Linked DNA regions of Canis lupus familiaris. The protein of the gene in region 2 purifies or fractionates together with the protein of the main gene of each other region. This does not show direct contact. Links are inferred from orthologs where the notes say so. Each region holds a gene or a part of one and is shown on either strand. Other genes may lie near its edges.

Region 1 (6,344 bases), on a different chromosome or scaffold from region 2:
AGGCCATATCTAAGTTGTGGCTTTTCCCAAAACTGGGCCCTCAGCCATCCTTCCTCACTCCCCCCGACTCATCGTCCTCACCGTCCCTGGGCCTGCGCCTCCATTACCCTGCCGCTGGCCTTGTGACCCTCCTGCCAGCTCAGCCTGCACTGGGATCAACGCCTCCCATACCGTGGGCCAATCGGGGAGAAGCCCAGAACCCTCTGGCCCTGGGCCCCCTACAGTGCTCCAGCACAGCCTTGGGAGGTGGTGACCCTTCCAGGGCCCCTCAGCTCCAGGGTCCAAGCACCCCCTGTGTCAGAGGGAGGCACCCCGGGACAGGGGATACTACTCACCAGATACCAGCCATCATAAAAGCTGTCAGGGCCCCCTCTCCTGAGTAATCAGGGTGTTAACTGATACTCCCTCAATACTCACTTCCTCCTCCTACCATCAGCCTCTGGCAGCCTCCAAAAAACATTTCTGGTGGTTTCCAGAAATGGACAGATGCAGAGCGAGCCACTTCTGATTCGTTAGCCCTAATACTCTTCCCTGGACTGGTCTTGTTGGCCTCAACTAGATGTGACTGCACTTACGATGCTAATTCAACTTTTCAAGATCCAAAGGGCAAAACTTAACATAATTCATTTATAAAGACAAACAGGTTTCAAAGAATGCAAGCTAATTTGTTTTTTTGTCAGATGAAACTATAAGCTCATAGGAAACGTGCCTGCTAATGGAACACCAGAATGAATGAATGAACTTCTCCTTTCAAATCCGCTCTGTCTCCTTGTGTACTCATCTTTGCCTAGTCAAAAGCAAAACAAAAACCTGTTTTTTTTCCAAGTGAAAAAGAACCAACTTATTGAAACGCAAGGTGGAAGAGCAAGAGATGAGACACAGTTAATTCAGACAATTTAATTCCAGGCTCTTCTAAGGACTTTGCCTTTTGATTTCAGTTGCTTTAAAAGAAAAAAAAAAAAAAAAAGTTCAGTGCATGAACATTAAAAAAAGTCCTCTCCCAAGGGCTAATTTTTTCTCTACTCATTTGCACCCAAAATGATCCAGCAATGGAAGATGTTAAAACTTTGCAAATGGGGAGCAAGGGGGCAGGGTGAGGATAAAGGAAGAATTAGCTCGGATTGTAAAAAAGTGCTCTTCCATTCCTCAGGAACAGATAACACAGAGACGGCGAGCCTGCCGTGGGGGGAACAGGAAATACTACTTCTTCCAAAAACATACTGTGGGCACAAAGGATGGCAGTAACCTCCCTGCATTCTTGCTCTAAAATCATCCATCTTGGGGCCCCTGGTGGCTCAGGGGTGGAGCGTCTGCCTTTGGCCCAGGGCATGACCCTGGGGTCCTGGGATGGAGTCCCACATGCCCCTCTCTCTGTCTCTGGTGAATAAATAAATAAAATCTTAAAAAATAACATCATTTATTCTCACTTGGATCTGTATTGTGATGGTTATCATTGAAATTTCAATGAGGTCTTGCTCCCTGAAAAGGGGCAATTTGCCCATTTAATCACAGAAGGTATAGTTACTGGACAGGAGAAATGCGATTTATTTCCAAAAGTAAACAAAAGGCCCTAGGAGTCTCATATGGTTCCAAACGTCCTGATGCGTAAAACCCCTGAGAAATAAGGTTTTGAGGTAAGTTTTAGGGAACTCACTCAGTGACATCTGCCCTAAACGGACACACAGCTATTTATAGTGTGTTTATTCCACTAAATGCGACAAGTCACAGTGTCCGTGCAGACATATGAACGGGTGGGAGTATGGGAGGCCGCCCAGCATGTACCAGAGTCTCTAATACACGGCGACAGTGTGGACACGTACCTCTCTAAATTCTGAGAAATGTTTTTCTCAATGCTGAAATTTAGCTTCCCAATTTGAACTCTAAATTGTGAAAAATCCAGGATTCCAAAACATATCTTAGCACATGGGTTTTGGAAAATAATTGTGGACGTGCTATGTGCTGCATAAAGTAGATACTGTACTAGGGAGTCTTTGGTTTAAAAGCAGAGAAATTTTTTTAAAAAGGAAAATAAATAAAACTGAGAGGTCAGACTTGCGCTTAGGATATTAAATTAAATATGAGCCTAAAGAAGGTGAAAGTGAGTTATTTCTTAAATACAGATCTAACAATAAGATTATTTGTCAAGTTCTTCCCTTAGCAGAGGTTAAGACCTAAAGTATACGCCTCATTTTTTTATCCTAGCTTAAAACATTAAAAACATTCTAGTTACTAAGCCTATTTATAAAATCCTACCTATGAAAGCGCTCCACATACAGAGACTAGAAATCCATTTCTATTTTACTACAAAATCTCCTCTAAACGTAACAAAACAAAAGTATAATGGAGATGGAACAAAATGACTTGATAAAAAATTTTAATGGAGAAGATTTCTCGTTTAAAACCCCTAGTACTCTACACCTTTCTAAAGGTGTTAGCTCAAGGATAAATATATTCATGCACAATAGGGACTTTTTTTTGGGGGGGCGGGGGGGGGGGGAGAGAGCAGATCAATGAATTTAGTTCCGTGAAATTAAAATGCTGCCTTCCTAGTGGCAATGAATTTCTTCTTACTGAAAAAAAAAAAAAAAAAAGGCTTCAGATGCTAGAATCATTTCCATTCCTTCCAAGAATTCCAAGTCATCACAAGATGAACTCTTTTTTAACTAGAAAATTCCGATGTGGGGCATCTCCAACCTTTAAACTACCCACTGACAGCGCTTCCAGGGCTTAAGGAAAGAACACCTGCTGCTCAAGGGTTGCTAGGGATCAACGGAATCTTTGGTCATTCAGTCAAACGGATGAAAATAACCTGCAACACTGTCTCCAACATCAAAAGCCTCAAACCGTGACTTCTCCAGACTAGGTCTTCCTAGTTCTGGAACATTCGAATAAACCCAAAGCTGAATCGCCTCTGTACAGCTAGGTAGGCGGGCTGATGCTTTGGGAGCTATGCTGCCCAACTCCAACTGACCCGGCATCGGCATCGCACCACACTGGGCTCTCGGCGGCACTTACTGTCACTGTACCGTGAAAACGTGTCTCAACGAGCGATCCTGCTCCATTTTAGGGGTGGCCCGGGAAGTTTCTTGTTTCTACACAACTGCTCTTTCTGTAGGAAAAGGCGTGCAAGCGCTGAACCCTCCGCAGGCCCAGGAGCACTGGCACCTGGAGTCACCCACATCAACAAGGTGGAATTTCCCAGGGCAGCGATAAAATGGCCAAAGGACAAGGTGAGCCTCCTGCGCCCCGGATCCGCGCCCGCCGCCGGCACCTGCGGCTTCCGCACCCCCCCCCCGCCCGCCCCACTGGCGCCCCGCCCCGCGTGCCCGGCAGGCCCGACCCCACCGACCCCGGGAGTGCTCGGTGGAGGACCTACCCGTCCTGATTCCAGAGACTCGATCAGCCTGTCCCTCCCGAGGCCCTGAGCGCACCTGCCCCGCCGAGGGCCCCGCACAGACCCGGACTCGGGGCGGGCAGGGGGGCGACAGGCGCGTCGCCCCGCCCGCCTTCCCCTGCTCCCGGCTGCCCGGGGCTCCGCGTCCCGGCTGCCCGGCCCAGGGCGCGCGCCACACCTACCTGTGCCAGGTGAGCCGAGGGCGGGGCGCGGGGCGCGGGGCGCGGGCGCGGACGGCTCGGGGCGCAGCACGGGACCGCCCGCTGCTCCTCGCTCCTCCCGCCGCTGGAGTCTTCTCAGCCGGCCAGCGCGAGGCGCTTCCTCATTTTGGGCAACTTCCTTAACGCGCCGGGCAGGCCCCGCACTTCCTCCCGGCCGCCGCGCCCCAGCGCCGGGGGCCCGCCCCCCCCCGCCTCTCCCCGCCCGCCCGTGCGCCCCAGCGACCCCGCGCCCGCCCCAGTGCCCCCAGCGCCCCCGCGCCCCGGACCCGCCTACCCCGCCCGCCGGTGCGCCCCAGTGACCCCGCGCCCGCCCGAGTGCCCCCAGCGCCCCCGCGCCCGGGGCCCACCCACCCGCCCGCCAGCCTGCGGTGCGCCCCCGTGCCCCTGTGCTCCCAGCGCCCCGGGCCCACCCGGAGTGCCTGCAGGGACCCCACGCCGTGCCTGCTGCCCGTGCGCCCAGGACAGGCTCCGAGCGCCCCTAGCCCCCTGCGCCCTGCCTCCCAGGCCCAGAAGGCCCACCCCAGGGGTCTTCATCCACACACAAGGGGCCCTGACAGCAACAGGAACCTCTGGCCGCCTTGCCAACCTGCCACCTGGTCCTTTGAACCACTGGCAGCGCTAAAAGGGCGCGCCCATCGCGCAGGGCCCTGGCGTGGGAAGAGACTCTTGCTCACTGGGGGGCGGACTCCCTCCTGGTCACCAACCCAAGCCGCTCCTGCTGACCTGTGACCCCAAGGCCCTCTGCACCCTGCCTTTAGAGTTAGGCTCTAGGTGCACATCGGACTTCACTGCGCTCTGCTGGAAGGGCCCGGCTTGTCCCACGCCGTGTTTTCTGAGGGCTCTGGTGATTTCAAGGTTCTTGACAGTGAGCTCAACTTGCTCCCTTCAGCCCACAACCGGTTCTTATGCCTGGACCTAAATAAATTAAGTTTAATATTTACCGTAGTATTGGGGCACCTGGGTGGCTCAGTGTGGAATGTCTGCCTTTGGCTCAGGTCCTGATCCCGTATTCCTGGGATCATGTCCCCCGGGGAGCCTGCTTCTCCCTCTCTTTGCCTGTGTCTCTGCCTCTCTCATGAATAAATAAATAACATCTTTAAAAAATATATTTACTGTAGTTTTTTTTTAAATTTATTGTAGTTCTAAAAAATATTTCTAAAATGCCCTATCCCCTCTCCTCGTTTTTCTATCAGGGAGCCCTCTTTAAAATTTTCCCATAAAACAGTGCCCAGATCCTCAGATTCTTGGTAACAGGTAGCAGTAAGTGTTTTAAAAGGCTGTGCCCTGAGCCCCAAAATTCAAAGTGAAATATATAGCGTGTTAGATTATAATTGCCATGGAGAAATACGAGGTGATAGGGAGTATGGACACTCATCGCGGCCCCTCAGTCTTTCCCACCTGGACATTCTCTTCTATTCATTTTTAAGTCAAGTGAGGGATTTTTATTATGGCTCTATTTGATAAGCATTGGACTTAAATTTTGCTTCAAACAGCCAATGAAATAGCCAGCATTCTCTAAACAGAAGCTGCAAAACATGTACACAGGAGGTTTCCAGAGTGGGTAATATCATTGGAAATGGACAAATGGGATTTGTTTTGAATCTGCATGAGAAGAGCAAACCTGGTGTTAATGAAGATGATGAAGATGACGTGTTTCCCTAGGGGCAGCCAATGGCGATGAGGTTCTAGATCAGTCCCTACACAATGCCTTCCTGCACTGCTGTGTGGTCCCTCTCACCTTTGGGGCATTTAAGTGACTGAGCATGCTTATGATGATTTTGGAAAAAAAAACATAATGTTAAAGTCATTACACAAATACCTAGAAAAAAAAAACTTTCAAAAAGACAACTTCAAAATAAAAATTAAAAAAAAAAAAAGTCAATACATTTCTGCCAGCGTTTCTTCCTTCTCCCAATGGTCTTCTCCCTCCAATGGCTTTGCTGTTCACCCTTCACTCAGTAAATCTTAGCTGTCATTATTGTCTGAGTCCTGGAGCCCCCCCCCCCCCATGAAACCCTGTACTCTGATGGTCTCTGGGACTCCCCACACTGCTACTTTTTAAAGTCTCCTGTTCCTTGCAGATTCTTTTTTTTTTTTTCTTTAAGAATAGTAACTCTAGGGGTGCCTGGGTGCCTCAGTGGTGAAGCGTCTGCCTTCGGCCCACGGTGTGATCTTGGAGTCCCAGGATCAAGTCCCACATCGGGCTCCCCACAGGGAGCCTGCTTATCCCCCTGCCTGTGTCTCTGCCTCTCTCCCTGTGTCTCTCATGAATAAATAAAGAAAATCTTAAAAAAAAAAAAAAAAGAACAGTAACTCTATTTCCTGGGGTTGCTGTGTTCATTGACATCTGAAACCTCCTGTCTGTTGGCCTTGTTTATTTCTACTGGTTCTGGCTCATGGTGTCAAACTTCCTTGTAAACTTGGCTGCACTCACTGTGAGCCTCTCGCCACTTCGGAAAAACCATTCATGGACCTTCATTGAGGTCTAGGAAGAGACGTTTTCTTTCGGAGACAATTTGCCTTTGCTTTGGTCAGAAGCCTAGGGTAAAACTAATGTTTGGACAATTAAAAGTAAATTCTCAGCTTATGGTTTCTTTGGATCACCTAGGTGATAGGAATTTGGGCTGGAAATTTGGGCACAATTTTGGTCAACTTGTGGTTGCATGGTTGCAGTCTTTCAAGGATTCATCTCTTCCATTCCCTCTCTGTGCTTCGTCTCATTTTCCTTG
Region 2 (6,097 bases):
ACCTGAATTTTACATCTATTTACATCTATCATTCCCTCCATCTGTTTGACCACATAAGTGTGTGTGTCATAAATTATATATTAGTTAGTTTTACATGTCTTTAGCCTTAATAGAACAAGAATCATGATACATGATCTTCTTTAACTTCCCTTTATTGCAATAAATTATTTTTATTATTTATCCATACTAATGTGACTATACTTCACTCATTGTCACTGTTGAATAGGACTCCATTGCATTCATATGCCACAATTAATGTATTCATTCTCTGGTTGATGAGCAATTGGATTTTTTCCAGTGTTTTTAAATTTTCTATTAGAAATGGTTCTTCCATAACAATTCTTGCACATGGCCTTGGTGTACACAGTATATTCGTACTGCTTTCTCATGTCTATGACCCAAATTACTTTGGTAATAACAAAGTGTTTCCAGAGTGATTGTACCTACTTGAATTTTTGTCAACAGTGCATAGAGTTCCAAATTTTCTCTAAGGTTGGGATTGTCCATTTGTCATCTGTTCATCTAGAGATTAATTTTCATGTGCACTGTGCCATGTAAATTGTGACTGTTTATTACAGTACGTTGTTCTCCATGTGTTGTGGAAACCATGCCGTGTGGCCTCATTCTTTTTACGAGTCATTAGCTAAGACTTGGTACCCTTGATCTCCAGGCTTGCATTGATCTTCTTGGAAAGCTGGTTACAGCTGCAGAGCAGTTGTGGCAGCTTGGAACATTATGGTAGTCATGCTACACACCACATGGGGCAAAATGTCCAGTCTGGAAAAGCAGACTCTCATTTTTATTATGTCAGACTAATACAGTAAGAAAGAAGAAAGACAAGTGGCTGTAAAAAGAAAAAGCAGAAGTGTAACTCTTGCCGCTGCTTTTTTTTTTCTCTGGGGAAATAAGAAGTTGCCAGTCCAGGTGCTAAACAGATTTGTTAGTTGAGAGAAAAGTCAAGTGGCTGATGGGGTGCACTTTACAGTAATTTAGAAGAAACAGGCTGGCTATCATCATCCCACTCAGTGAAGCTTGATTTTCTTGATCCTTGGTGACATTGTAATAGCTTTCCCTGTTCCCATCTACTAGTTTTGTTTTGTTTTTGTTTTTGTTTTTCAGTTAAGAACTATGGAGAGAGGATAGGTGAGGCTCTAGGACTCCTTCGGGATACACTGCAAGGAAACTGAGCTTCTTGTTTGGGGAAAATAAACAATTGGAAGAGGCAAGTGCTTGAATTTTTCTCATGAAAGATTGTCTGCTCCCTTGCTGGCCTGGCCAATTTAGTGGCTTGGCCAAGCAGAAGGGCCCCACCCTTTAATAGCTTTGAGGATTCTGCTCCTGAACACCTGGTCGAACTAGAAATTCAGAGGCAGAACATGAATGTGAACAATCAAGATTTACCTAGAGAAATATAGAACCTCTGTTTGTACAAAGAATAGATACAGAAGGGAAGAAATCCATCTACCACTTGTACTCTGCCAGAGAGGCTGCCTCTCCCTCCCCTCTTCCTTCTCCTCCTCCCTCCCGTTCTCCTCCCCACTCCTCCTACCCCACCTCATTCAGGTCTCTCCTTTTGGCTCTTCCTCCCATCTCCCCTTCTATCTTCAGCCAGACCTGGGGTCTGTAACAGGAGAGGTAACTTGGAGCCTCTGCTATGTCCTTCTTATATATTCTTCAGACCCAGGAGAGGATTAGTCACTGAATAAATGTGCTAAATATGCACCTTCTTCACAAAGGTGAGCAGGAATTTCTTGCTGGGTGCAGGGAAGTGTGCCCAGACATAAAAGGAACTGTCCCTCTCATTTTCCTCCTCCCTGACTTAAACTGCCTTCTGCTCTCTAAATGACAGTACAGAAATGCCGTTTTCATATCATGGTTCTTTAAGTGGAAAAATTTATCCATGAATTTATGCAAATGAACAGAAAGTCCCAAAGAGACCTGATGGAATTGATTATTCTGCTTTTCCTTGAGCCCAGGAAGCAACTGGGGACAGAATGACACCTGCTAAAAACAGGGCTATGTGTGTTTGGGACAACAGGAAGTAGTGACCATCTAGAAGCCAGTCCTGACCTGATTACAAATCTGGTTATAAAAGAAAGCAGCTGGAAAGAAATTTGCATGTCCAATAGGTTTCACTATTAAAGTTTACACGACGTGGAGTAATCAGCCAAGCCGGCTGGCTACCCAGATCACATGATTATGTAGAAACATGAAACTTGACTATGTGCTCGAGCAAGTTTTACTTCTCCCTACTGTAGGGTGTTTGCCAGCAGCCTGCACTCTCGGAAATCAGACTCAAGTGACTGGGACCCTTGAGATCAAAGGCTTACCATGCTTCTCCCTAAGAGGGCCAGGGCCTGCTGACATTACTGCTGACGGTTATTCGTGGTTCTTATAATTAACAAAAAGAATGGACAAGCTTAATAAAATAACTGTCCCTGCCAGTCAGAAGTTGAGGTAAGATTTTCCTTATCTAATACTTCTCCTTCCTCTGCTTCTTCTGCTTCTTCTTTTTTTTAATGCTCCTACTGCATCTGAGAAATATTGAAATCCTGGAATACTTTGCTAGTTGTAAGGCAGTGGGTGGCAGTTGCTATAGGGAAGTAGACTGAGTTTTTAAAGAGATATGTAGGAACAAGTGGGCTTATTCCTGCTGGTTTTAGCTATTGAAAGATTAAGGTAGAAAATTCTGGAGAATTCTGGCTTAGATTCTACTAAAGTTCAGCTTTCTGAGTCTGAATACAACAAACTAGTCTAAGGAAGGGTTTGTCTAACCCTTGTTTAACCTTTGCTAAACGCTTAACTATTTCATTGTGGATTACTATTTAATATTTAATGTTAAGGATCATTGTAATCATTTGTATTCATTGTAGTTGTACTATCTCTTATTTATTTTGTGGGTGTATATCACAAGTGCTTGGGGACAGGAGATCTGTTTTTCCAGTGTTCTTATGTCAGTATAACAATTATCTATAAAAAAGCCACTTGGAAAAAAAAAAAAAAAAACAGAAGTGGTGCAAGGAGCAAGAATCAAAAAACTCCTCTGAGTTATGGAAAAGACAATGTCTCAAATTCTCATTTGGAAGATCTTTTTGTCTCATTGTAACAGCATCATGTTTTTAGAGACTGAAACTTTTAAATACACAATGAGTGTTCTATATTCCAACTACCATTTGAACTTCAGTTTTTAGAGGGTGATATGACACGTGAAGCAAGTAAGTTTCCACAAATAATAAGGAGCTAGAGAATTAGAGCTTTTGAGACAAAATTTATGAGAAATTAGCCTGGAATTGGTAGAGGGATGGCCCTTTACAGTGAGAGTATGCATCTTACATTTGGCCGGTGCTTGGTAAATAGTGGTTTGAAATGAACTGCTGATCTGGGACCAGTAGGCTCCATTAATGTGCTCAGACATTTCAAGGGTGTGTTGGTGAGGGCTGCGGTATGACCTGCACTGACAGGGGACAAGAAGGTGCCTCAGCCTTTGCCTTGGTTTCAAGTTGCTACACTCTCATGGGAGGGGGGCAGGTGAATCAATGAAAGTAGTAAGTGACTGAATGAGTATAGAAAAGGAATTGGAAAAAAAAAATTAAAAAAAAAGAAAAGGAATTGGGATAGCCAGGAAAGGTTTCATGGAGAAGATGCTTCAAGAGCTAGGTTTGAGAGGTGGCTTAAGGCAAAAGTAGTGTGAGAATTGGAGGAAAAGCAATGAGCCAGGAGGAAGGAAATAGAGAAGCTGACACTTGAGGCTGGCCTTGACTCAGTGCATTGGTGGGATGACGAGGAGAGTGTTCTGTCCAACAGAGACTATGGAATAGGGTATATGGTACCAGAGGGTAGTCATAAGGGAGAATGTGTCGGGTGTGGCCAGCTCACAGAGGACAGTGAGGCTCTAACTGTGGGGGATTAGAGAATGGTTTACAGGGTTAGAGATGCCATGCCAGCAGGCTTACTAATGGGTGACAGAATGGACTACAGGGGTAGGAAGCTGGGGGCAGGGATATTCTGTAATGACGGTAGTTGAGGAATGACGGCTTCTAGTGTTAGGGGCCTGGACATGGGGCACAGCAGTGAGAAGGGAAAGGAAAGGAGAGGTAAGAAAGACATGCCAAAGAAACTAACAAGGCATGGATATTAGTGCTTCTCTCAAATGAGCAAGAGGGTTTTAAAAAGTCCTTTCTAAACATTCCATAACCTAGAGCTATACCAAGCCTTAGAACCCCTTTTAGGAAATCCAGATCAGAATTTAAGTAAAGGAAAGCACTAGAACCTGAATCACTGTATGATCTCCACCTGCCACCCCCCATCCCTTGGGACAAAGACCAGCTTAATCACAGAGTGGTTGACAGGCAATATGCAACCATAGATTATAGGGTAGAAAACCAAAACTCTACTGTGGATAATCATACACTACATTCATCTGCTTAGGCAGAAGTAACTTTTTCTCCACTTGGTCACTCAGTTGTCTTTACAGAATTGGTCTGTTTTGGTAAAATGTGCACTGCTGACGTGGAACTTTAAAAAAAAATGAAAAAAAATGAAATTGTAAACACGATGGACTTGAAGCACCATCTTAAATATTTTCTAGTTAGATGGGATGGCAAGGAGTAGGGAAATGAAGTAATTGATCCCTATGGTCTGTGTCCTCTGTCCTGACTCGTTAATACCAAATCAGACGGTTGTCTAACTGCAATTATTTGGTACCAGGTGACAGTATAAGTGAAGAGCTGTGTTTATATTCTTAGGTTTATCAAAATTTAGATGAGAATTTGCTTAAATTTTTAGCCACAAAAGTAGAGAGATAATTAGTGTCCATCAAGGGCACATAGTGATCCTGGCCCATAATAATTATCAGATTAAAAATGATATTAATATCATTATTATTCTTTCTTATTAATTCCATAGGTGTGTAATTGAAATCCTGAATAGAAACATAGGACTTTACATTGATCCTTGATAAAGTTTATGTTCATTTCAGTTCTTCTTTTTATCTATTTTGGTTATTCGGTTATTTTGGTTATTTTACCTGTTGGTTGTAACTCCTATGGCATTTAGCTTTGCAAGGACTGGAGGCACAACAAACAACCCTCCTCTGCCTTAACCTAAGTGGCTAATAAAACTGTTGAGCACACAGAGCCCTTCTTGGGTGTCTGGGTCTCACTGCTAGGACTCTTACTTAGAGATCTAATTTCACAGGTTTTGGGACATGGCTTCTCTTCTCGAGTCTTGGAATCCTTAATTGGAATTTCCAGTTACTTGATTTTTCAAGTTCGATTCTTCAGAAACAAATCCACTGGGGTGTCTGGCTGGCTCACTTGATAAAGCATGCGACTCTTGAACTCAGGGTCATGAGTTTGAGCCCCATGTTGGGCTGTAGAAATTTAAAAAAAGAAAGAAAGAAAGAAAGAAAGAAAGAAAGAAAGAAAGAAAGAAAGAAAGAAAGAAAGAAAGAAAGAAAGAAATTCACCTTCTTTTCACCTTCCTGCCACTAGCTCCATCTCTGATACTCTGTTTCTGTCAATAGTATTGTCATCAACCCTAACTCTGATTCATCCCTCTCTGCACTGCCATTTACTACCACACCCTGTAGTCTTTATTTTGTGATACTTCCATATATTCTACATATGGCTTTTCTGTCACATCACCCTGGATAGATCCTCATCTCCCCTGTGTCCCCCATCTATAAAATGAAGAGTTTGGAAACAGACAATTTCCAAAGTCTCTCTCAGCTCTAATGCTATGTGATCCCTTAAGCATGGAGACCATTCTCTGACCCCACTCTTGGGCAGCTTTCAAAGATTTTATCCCAAAGCCCTCAGGAAATATTTCCTGATTGAATCATCTGTCTTTGACAGATGCCTATCCGTAAACAGTAGGGTCAGAGAATACAACCAGACAGCATCCAAGGAGGTCATCTAGAAGGTTGCTATGATGTATTTAGAAGGACAATGCAGTTGGAGCCCCAAAGGGTTGAATTTCAATTGCCAATTATTATCTATGGGTCCTGAGGAAGTCACTCAACTTCTATAAAGCTTGTTTCCTCAATTGTCAAATAAAACTAGAGATGCCTTCCTCACAGGCTTATTGTGACTAAGTA
Region 3 (6,225 bases), on a different chromosome or scaffold from region 2:
TTTCTTAACCACCCCATTCCTGCTCTGACAATGGTCTCTACTTACTGGAATCTGTCTTTCAGGGGGAGGATTTTTTTCAGGAACCACTGTTTCAACGCAGGTGATCTTCTCAACATCTATTGAACCCTTCTTACTGCCTCTTCTCTGAGAAAGAGAATGAGGAACAAAATGGAGAAAGATTAGGAATGATTAAGCAACCAGATGATTAGATTTTGTTATCTAATCATTCAACATAGTGAGGTGACACCCACGTTCTATTCATCAGAACCTGTCATTTTGAAAAAAAAAATACAACAAAACTTCCAGATCTATTAATCTAAACTTTTTTGACTATCAGAGGGCAAATACTATAGAAGAGTGGATGACTGTGTGTGCCTTTACCATAAAAAATGAAGAATAATTTTCAAGACGTGGATTTCATTCTCAACAGCACTTAATGAATGATCAGTTGCAAGATTCCATGGTAAGATTGCCCCCATGGCTTCTTAGCACCTTTGAATTTTTTGTGCCAACATGGCTGTAGTTAGTTCTAGGCTAAGAAACATTTTTCTGAGTTTGAAATATACCTCGATCCCTACCACCTCCCTCCTCCAACCAAAAATATCTAGTCCTCAAGGAAGATCTAAGGCTAAGTCCTTGATATTCAGGTTTCACAGCAGAAAAACTTACCCCACGTTCAAAGTCATACTCATAGTAGGAAAGTTTGTGCATAGTTAAGAGAAAGAGGCGCTTCTTGAAGTTTAAAGGTGATGTTTTCTTTTTCTGTTGAGATCGCTTCAGAAAGATGCTCTCCAGTATCACTGCAGCCATAGCTTCTTCTTTCTGGAGCTCACTTGTGTGCTGTTGATAATGAAAGTTCTTGAGGACCCAGCACATTATTCCTTATCCCTCCTGGTTCCCTCTCAACCTGACCACCTAGTTTCAAATGGAACAGAATCATGCAAAGCTAATAAAGAGCCTTCTTCCTGCCTTGACATCCTCCTTCCATAGCTTCCGTCTCTGTCAGTTTTCAGGTGTAATGGTGAATTGGAAGGACAGATTCGGCATGAGCTCACATACACTGGGTTTTTGTATAAGGCAATGGAATGCTCTGAATGTCAAATGACATGTACCTGTGTGCTTAGTAATGTCTAGAGGCCACTTTATACTAACCACCCTTTTGTGATACGTGCAGAATCTGTGAACAGCAACAGTCTCTGTGCAGCTGTTGACACTGATATCCCCAGAAGGGATAATGCAGGTGCCAAAACTTCACTGAGGCAGATATTGGACTTTCAGTTCCCAGTTTCCTAGACAGTGAATGCAATTTTTTCAAACATTGTCCCACTGGGGTCTGTAAACAAGGCATATAATAAGGATATGGAGGCTGCACCTGCAGGTATGGACATATACTAACTGCTGCCCAACTGATTTTGCCCATCAACCACTAGCTCAGCTACAAAGGGTAGAAGCTTTGTTCTAAAATTGAAAAATAATTTTGGGGGAGGGAGTTCCTTTTGTTTTGTCTTTGGTTTGTGTGTGTGTGTGTGTGTTTTAGTTTTTTTGTGTGTGCGTGTTTTGGTTTGTGTTTCCCCCTCCTTTTTATATTTTTAAAGACTTTATTTATTTATTCATGAGAGACACACAGAGAGAACAAGAGACACAGGCAGAGGGAGAGAGAGAAGCAGGCTCCATGCAGGGAGCCCGACCTGGGACTCGATCCCCGGTCTCTAGGATCACACCCTGGGCTGAAGGCGGCGCTAAACCGCTGAGCCACCCGGGCTGCCCTCCCCCTCCTTTTCTTAGATTGGTTCTTTTAGACACTGTCTTACCAAAGTGATGCAACTGTCTACTCTTATGGGTGCCATCTCTGGTTATTTACGAAAAGTAATTTGTTTACTCTCTCCAAACTTAGAATACTCTAGGAAAGATTCAGTTTAGGTAGCTGAAGTGCAAAAATGCAAAGAAAGTTACAAAAGAAATCACCATTGGTTTTTTTCATTCATACAAAACATGCTTCATATTAGTTATTCACTTACTGTTTACACACAATTGCATATTCATTTAAAGTCTATGCATAATTCCAAACCTTCCTTAGAAAGATTAAGTGAAAATATAAATACTATCACAAAATGGGGCACTTAATCAGTACAAAATAAGTACTGAAACAGATCACCAGCTTCCCTCAAATTTTGTTATAAGTGGGGTTCTTTTCTTTTTTAAAGATTTTACTCATTTATTCATGAAAGACAGAGAGAAAGAGAGAGAGAGAGAGAGAGAGGCAGAGACACAGGCAGGGGGAGAAGCAGGCTCCATGCAGGGAGCCGGATGTGGGATTCGATCCTGATCCCGTCTCCAGGATCGCGCCCTGGGCTGAAGGCGGCGCTAAACAGCTGAGCCACCCCGGCTGCGTGGGGTTTTTTTCTTAAGGAGGGATGACATTTTTTATAACTAAACTCCTTATCCTTTATCTGTCTATGCAGAATAAATAATGTCAGCATTTTTTTTCTACCTGCCAAACACAGATTATTGCTCACACCAAGGAAACAAGGGAGCAGTTTTTATCAAAGTCTGAGGCTATCCGCACCGTTATTTTGCTCTTTCCTGTGGTGTAGAAGGTTCTATTATCATACTGGGGAGACATTAAAAATAGGTTAAAGGAACACCAGGGATGTTCAAAATAATCACTTTGCCACTTATTCACCATGTCGATGCTACTGTCTTCTGGTGGTGGATTAATTCAATGGTTTATAAATGATCTTTTGAGAAAAATTAGACAAGGAGCAAACTTTTTCCCCACACCTGGTCACACAGGTTCCCTGACTACCTGGTTTAAATGGTCTCTACAGGAGTGACAAACTGATAAGACTTTACAACCAGAGTACTTTCTAATGCTCAAACCCCACAGAGATTTCTGTCAACATTAAAATTATTCATTTATTCAGAAATAGTGGTAACCAAGTAATATTATATTCTCAAGAACAGTCAACTCATCAAGATACTTGTAATGAGATCACATTTTTTTCACTGTGAATTCCAATTAAATAGCTCTTCACAATCAGAAAGACTCAACTTGCACAAGATAAAATAAAGCCTTAATGAAAATAAGTAGCATGTCCAGTAAATTGGATCAGAAGCATCCTAACAAACTACATCCAGTTTTGCTTCTTTTAGCTGAGTAAAGCATACCCATGATTTTACCTTTAGTTTTGTTGCAAGCTCTTGATGGATGCATTCCCTGCTCTGACCCAGCATCCGCTTCAGTCTTGGCCTCTGCTCTTACTTCCTATAAGATAGGTCCTTCTGGAAACTGCCTCTGCTCTTTTTCTCTTTTATTTTTATTTTCTTTTTTCTTTTTTTTTTCTTTCTTTTTCTCTTTTAGAACAAATCCAGTTTGTACAAGAGGAAGCCTTCCTCTCTTTCAAGTGTCTGTTGGGTTATGGTTTAGTGCTGGTCTAAGTATGAGGAAGTAAGTAAGCCTCTCACTAGCCATCACCCCTCTCAGCAAAAGGGTGAAATGGCCTCTACCACTAGATCATGGAGTTGAAGAATTCCCAGGATTTCCAAGGTCTGGTTGCCCCTTCTTTGACTGCTTTCCCCTTATTCCTTGTGAACCAGTCCAGACACACACAGCCTGAAAATGTGGTCGTTCTTCCTTAGTCATCACTGATTCATCCACCAATAATGTGAAAGGAGGTGCATTTTTCCTGAAGGTTGGTGTGTGATGGACACTGCATTAGAGGGCAGTTGCAACTTCTTTATGGTAGCTTCTAAATTTTCTTCTAACTATTTCAGCAGCTGACAGTTAATTTGACCACAAAAGATGCACCATGTGGCTGACCCCCCACTTCACTCAGAGGGTGGGGGTGGGGGTGGAAACCGGAAGTGACATGAATGTTAACACACACACACATTCACACACTGATGTTCACATAAAGAAAGAGGAGGAAAAATAATAGAAAGACACAGGTTCTTCATTTAAAATACAGAATTCCAGGGGCACGTGGGTGGCTCAGTGGTTGAGCATCTGCCTTTGGCTCAGGTCGTGATCCCAGGGTCCTGGGATCAAGTCCCACATCAGGGTCCCCATAGGGAGCCTGCTTCTCCTTCTGCCTATGTCTCTGCCTCTCTGTGTGTCTCTCATGAATAAATGAATAAAATCTTTTTAAAGATACAGAATTCCAGCATTATAATGTTCTCTTTTTAAACTACAAATGCAAGAATTTTCATGTGGCCACCTTTTGCAGCCTCCCAGCTTCCTATGGAGCAGCAGAATTCATAAAGAGGATGCTTGTTAATAAGAGTTCAGCCATCTTAAAAACTGCGCTATGCCAAGGAATTGATACGAAAAACACCTGTAGGATTGGTAAACTAAATCACCTTTGGTCCTATCACTGCTCAAGGTAAGATAAACACCAGAGCAAAATTCAGAAGACTACACAGCCTGCCTATGATTGGGAAGAGTCCAGGAAATGCTATTTAGAAATAACCAGTCAGTCATAGTTCAAATAGCTACTTAGCCAGAATATCCAAGAAACATCATTCTCTATTTCTCATTTAAAGCATTACTTAAGTACCAAAAAAGTCTGTCTATTCCCTTTTCTTCTGAGGGGAATGGAAGGAAATTCTTGTTTTTCTCAGTGCAGTCTACCCATCAAGCATTTTATACTCAGTATTTCATTTATTTCTTACAACAAAGAGGTGAGGAAAGTGAGATTCATGGAAGTTGTGTGATCTGCCCAACCTCATCCATAACTCCACAGCCCTTGCTGTTTCTGTGATACCTACCTCATTGCCTCCTAGAGAGATTTTTTTTTTTTTTTGCTTTCAATAAGTTTTGATGCTATCCATCTCACCACCTGTCATCCCCCATGGCTACCATCAAAGAGCAGTAGAGACAGAATCCTCTGCATCTTCTAGGAACATTTGACAAAAGAGGAAATGATGGTAAATTCAGGGGATAAGAGAGAGTACAGGATCCTGGAGCATTTTCCTCTGCAATAATCCTCCAAGCGAAAAAGGGTGATTTATCCCTGTTAACTGTCAACTGTACTTTTTCCCATATGTGGACTCTTCTTATCCCTACCAGATTTTCTTACATTTTCCTTTCAGTCTTTCGGAAAGAGATCCTAACTGGTGTTACTTGCTGTTTTCTTTTCAGGACTTTTTTTCATTGTTGATTCGATAAAAATATGAGATTTATGTGGAACACCTGCCAACTCTGTCCCTAGGGTTGTTATTGCATAGTGTGAATGTAAATTTTTGATCAAATGTACTTTGTTTTATATTATGAAGTGTGGCAAATAGTACAGAGACTAACACTACACTCAGGTACTCACCACTTAGCTCTATAAAATTCTAACATAGTGCCATAATTGCTTCCGGCATTTTTCAGAAATAAAATACTAACCATAGAGTCAAAACTTCCTTGTATACTCCTCTGCAATCAATCCCCTCCTTCCTCAGAAGTTAACTATATCTTGAATTTCGTGTTAATCATTCCTAGGCATGTTTTTATATTGTTACTGCATATGTAAGTATCCATGAAAGGTATTTAGTATTGGTTTGCATGTTTTACAGGGTACATATTCTTCAGCAACTTGCTTTTCTTCTCAGTATAAATTTTGTAAAGATTTATTTATTTAATAAAATCTTTCAAAACACTTATAAAAAAGAGATTTATTTATTTATTTTAGAGAGAGAGAAAGAGTACTCAAGCACTGTGGGCGGAGGGGCAGAAGGAGAGGGAGAGAGAATCCCAAGCCAACTCCCTGCTGAGCGTGGAGCCCCACATGGGGCTTGATCTCACCACCCATGAGATCATGACCTGAGCCACAATCACAAGTTTGAATGCTCACCTGACTGAGCCACCCAGGTACCCCTCTCAGTATAATGTTTTATCTTGGTTAAAGCTCTAGTTCATATATTTTAATTTATTTTATATGCACAAAGTATTATTTTTAAAAAAGATTTTATTTATTTATGAGAGAGAGAGAGAGAGAGAGAGAGGCAGAGACACAGGCAGAGGGAGAAGCAGGCTCCATGCTGGAAGCCCAATGTGGGACTTGAACCCAGGTCTTGGGGATCACGCCCTGAGCCAAAGGCAGGCCCTCAACCGCTGAGCCACCCAGACATCCCAGCATAAAATATTCTATATGATGAATACATCACATTTGATTTATCCATTCTCCTATTGCTAGATGTTTAGATTGCTTGTTTTCAGTTATAAACAATGCCGCCATGCAC

Evidence for each region. Proteins that work in one complex are often made in the same cells at the same time.
Region 1: the proteins of BLNK (region 2) and SYK purify together in Homo sapiens (affinity purification with western blotting; 3 studies listed by BioGRID and IntAct, with this or other methods). This does not show direct contact. The link is inferred for Canis lupus familiaris from reciprocal best matches to the Homo sapiens genes BLNK and SYK.
Region 3: the proteins of BLNK (region 2) and BTK purify together in Homo sapiens (affinity purification with western blotting; 5 studies listed by BioGRID and IntAct, with this or other methods). This does not show direct contact. The link is inferred for Canis lupus familiaris from reciprocal best matches to the Homo sapiens genes BLNK and BTK.

Annotation. Positions count from the first base shown.
Region 1 is NC_049222.1:96,695,013-96,701,356, forward strand, and holds the start of SYK (tyrosine-protein kinase SYK), read right to left. Parts: upstream 3,699-6,344; 5' UTR 3,577-3,698; intron 3,541-3,576; exon of another isoform or gene 3,377-3,540; intron 3,224-3,376; exon of another isoform or gene 3,016-3,223; intron 1-3,015. UniProt on the Homo sapiens protein: Non-receptor tyrosine kinase which mediates signal transduction downstream of a variety of transmembrane receptors including classical immunoreceptors like the B-cell receptor (BCR).
Region 2 is NC_049249.1:9,879,415-9,885,511, reverse strand, and holds the start of BLNK (B-cell linker protein), read left to right. Parts: upstream 1-2,149; 5' UTR 2,150-2,410; coding exon 2,411-2,457; intron 2,458-6,097. UniProt on the Homo sapiens protein: Functions as a central linker protein, downstream of the B-cell receptor (BCR), bridging the SYK kinase to a multitude of signaling pathways and regulating biological outcomes of B-cell function and development.
Region 3 is NC_049260.1:75,699,984-75,706,208, forward strand, and holds the start of BTK (tyrosine-protein kinase BTK), read right to left. Parts: upstream 3,699-6,225; 5' UTR 3,235-3,698; coding exon 3,181-3,234; intron 841-3,180; coding exon 670-840; intron 145-669; coding exon 46-144; intron 1-45. UniProt on the Homo sapiens protein: Non-receptor tyrosine kinase indispensable for B lymphocyte development, differentiation and signaling. Binding of antigen to the B-cell antigen receptor (BCR) triggers signaling that ultimately leads to B-cell activation.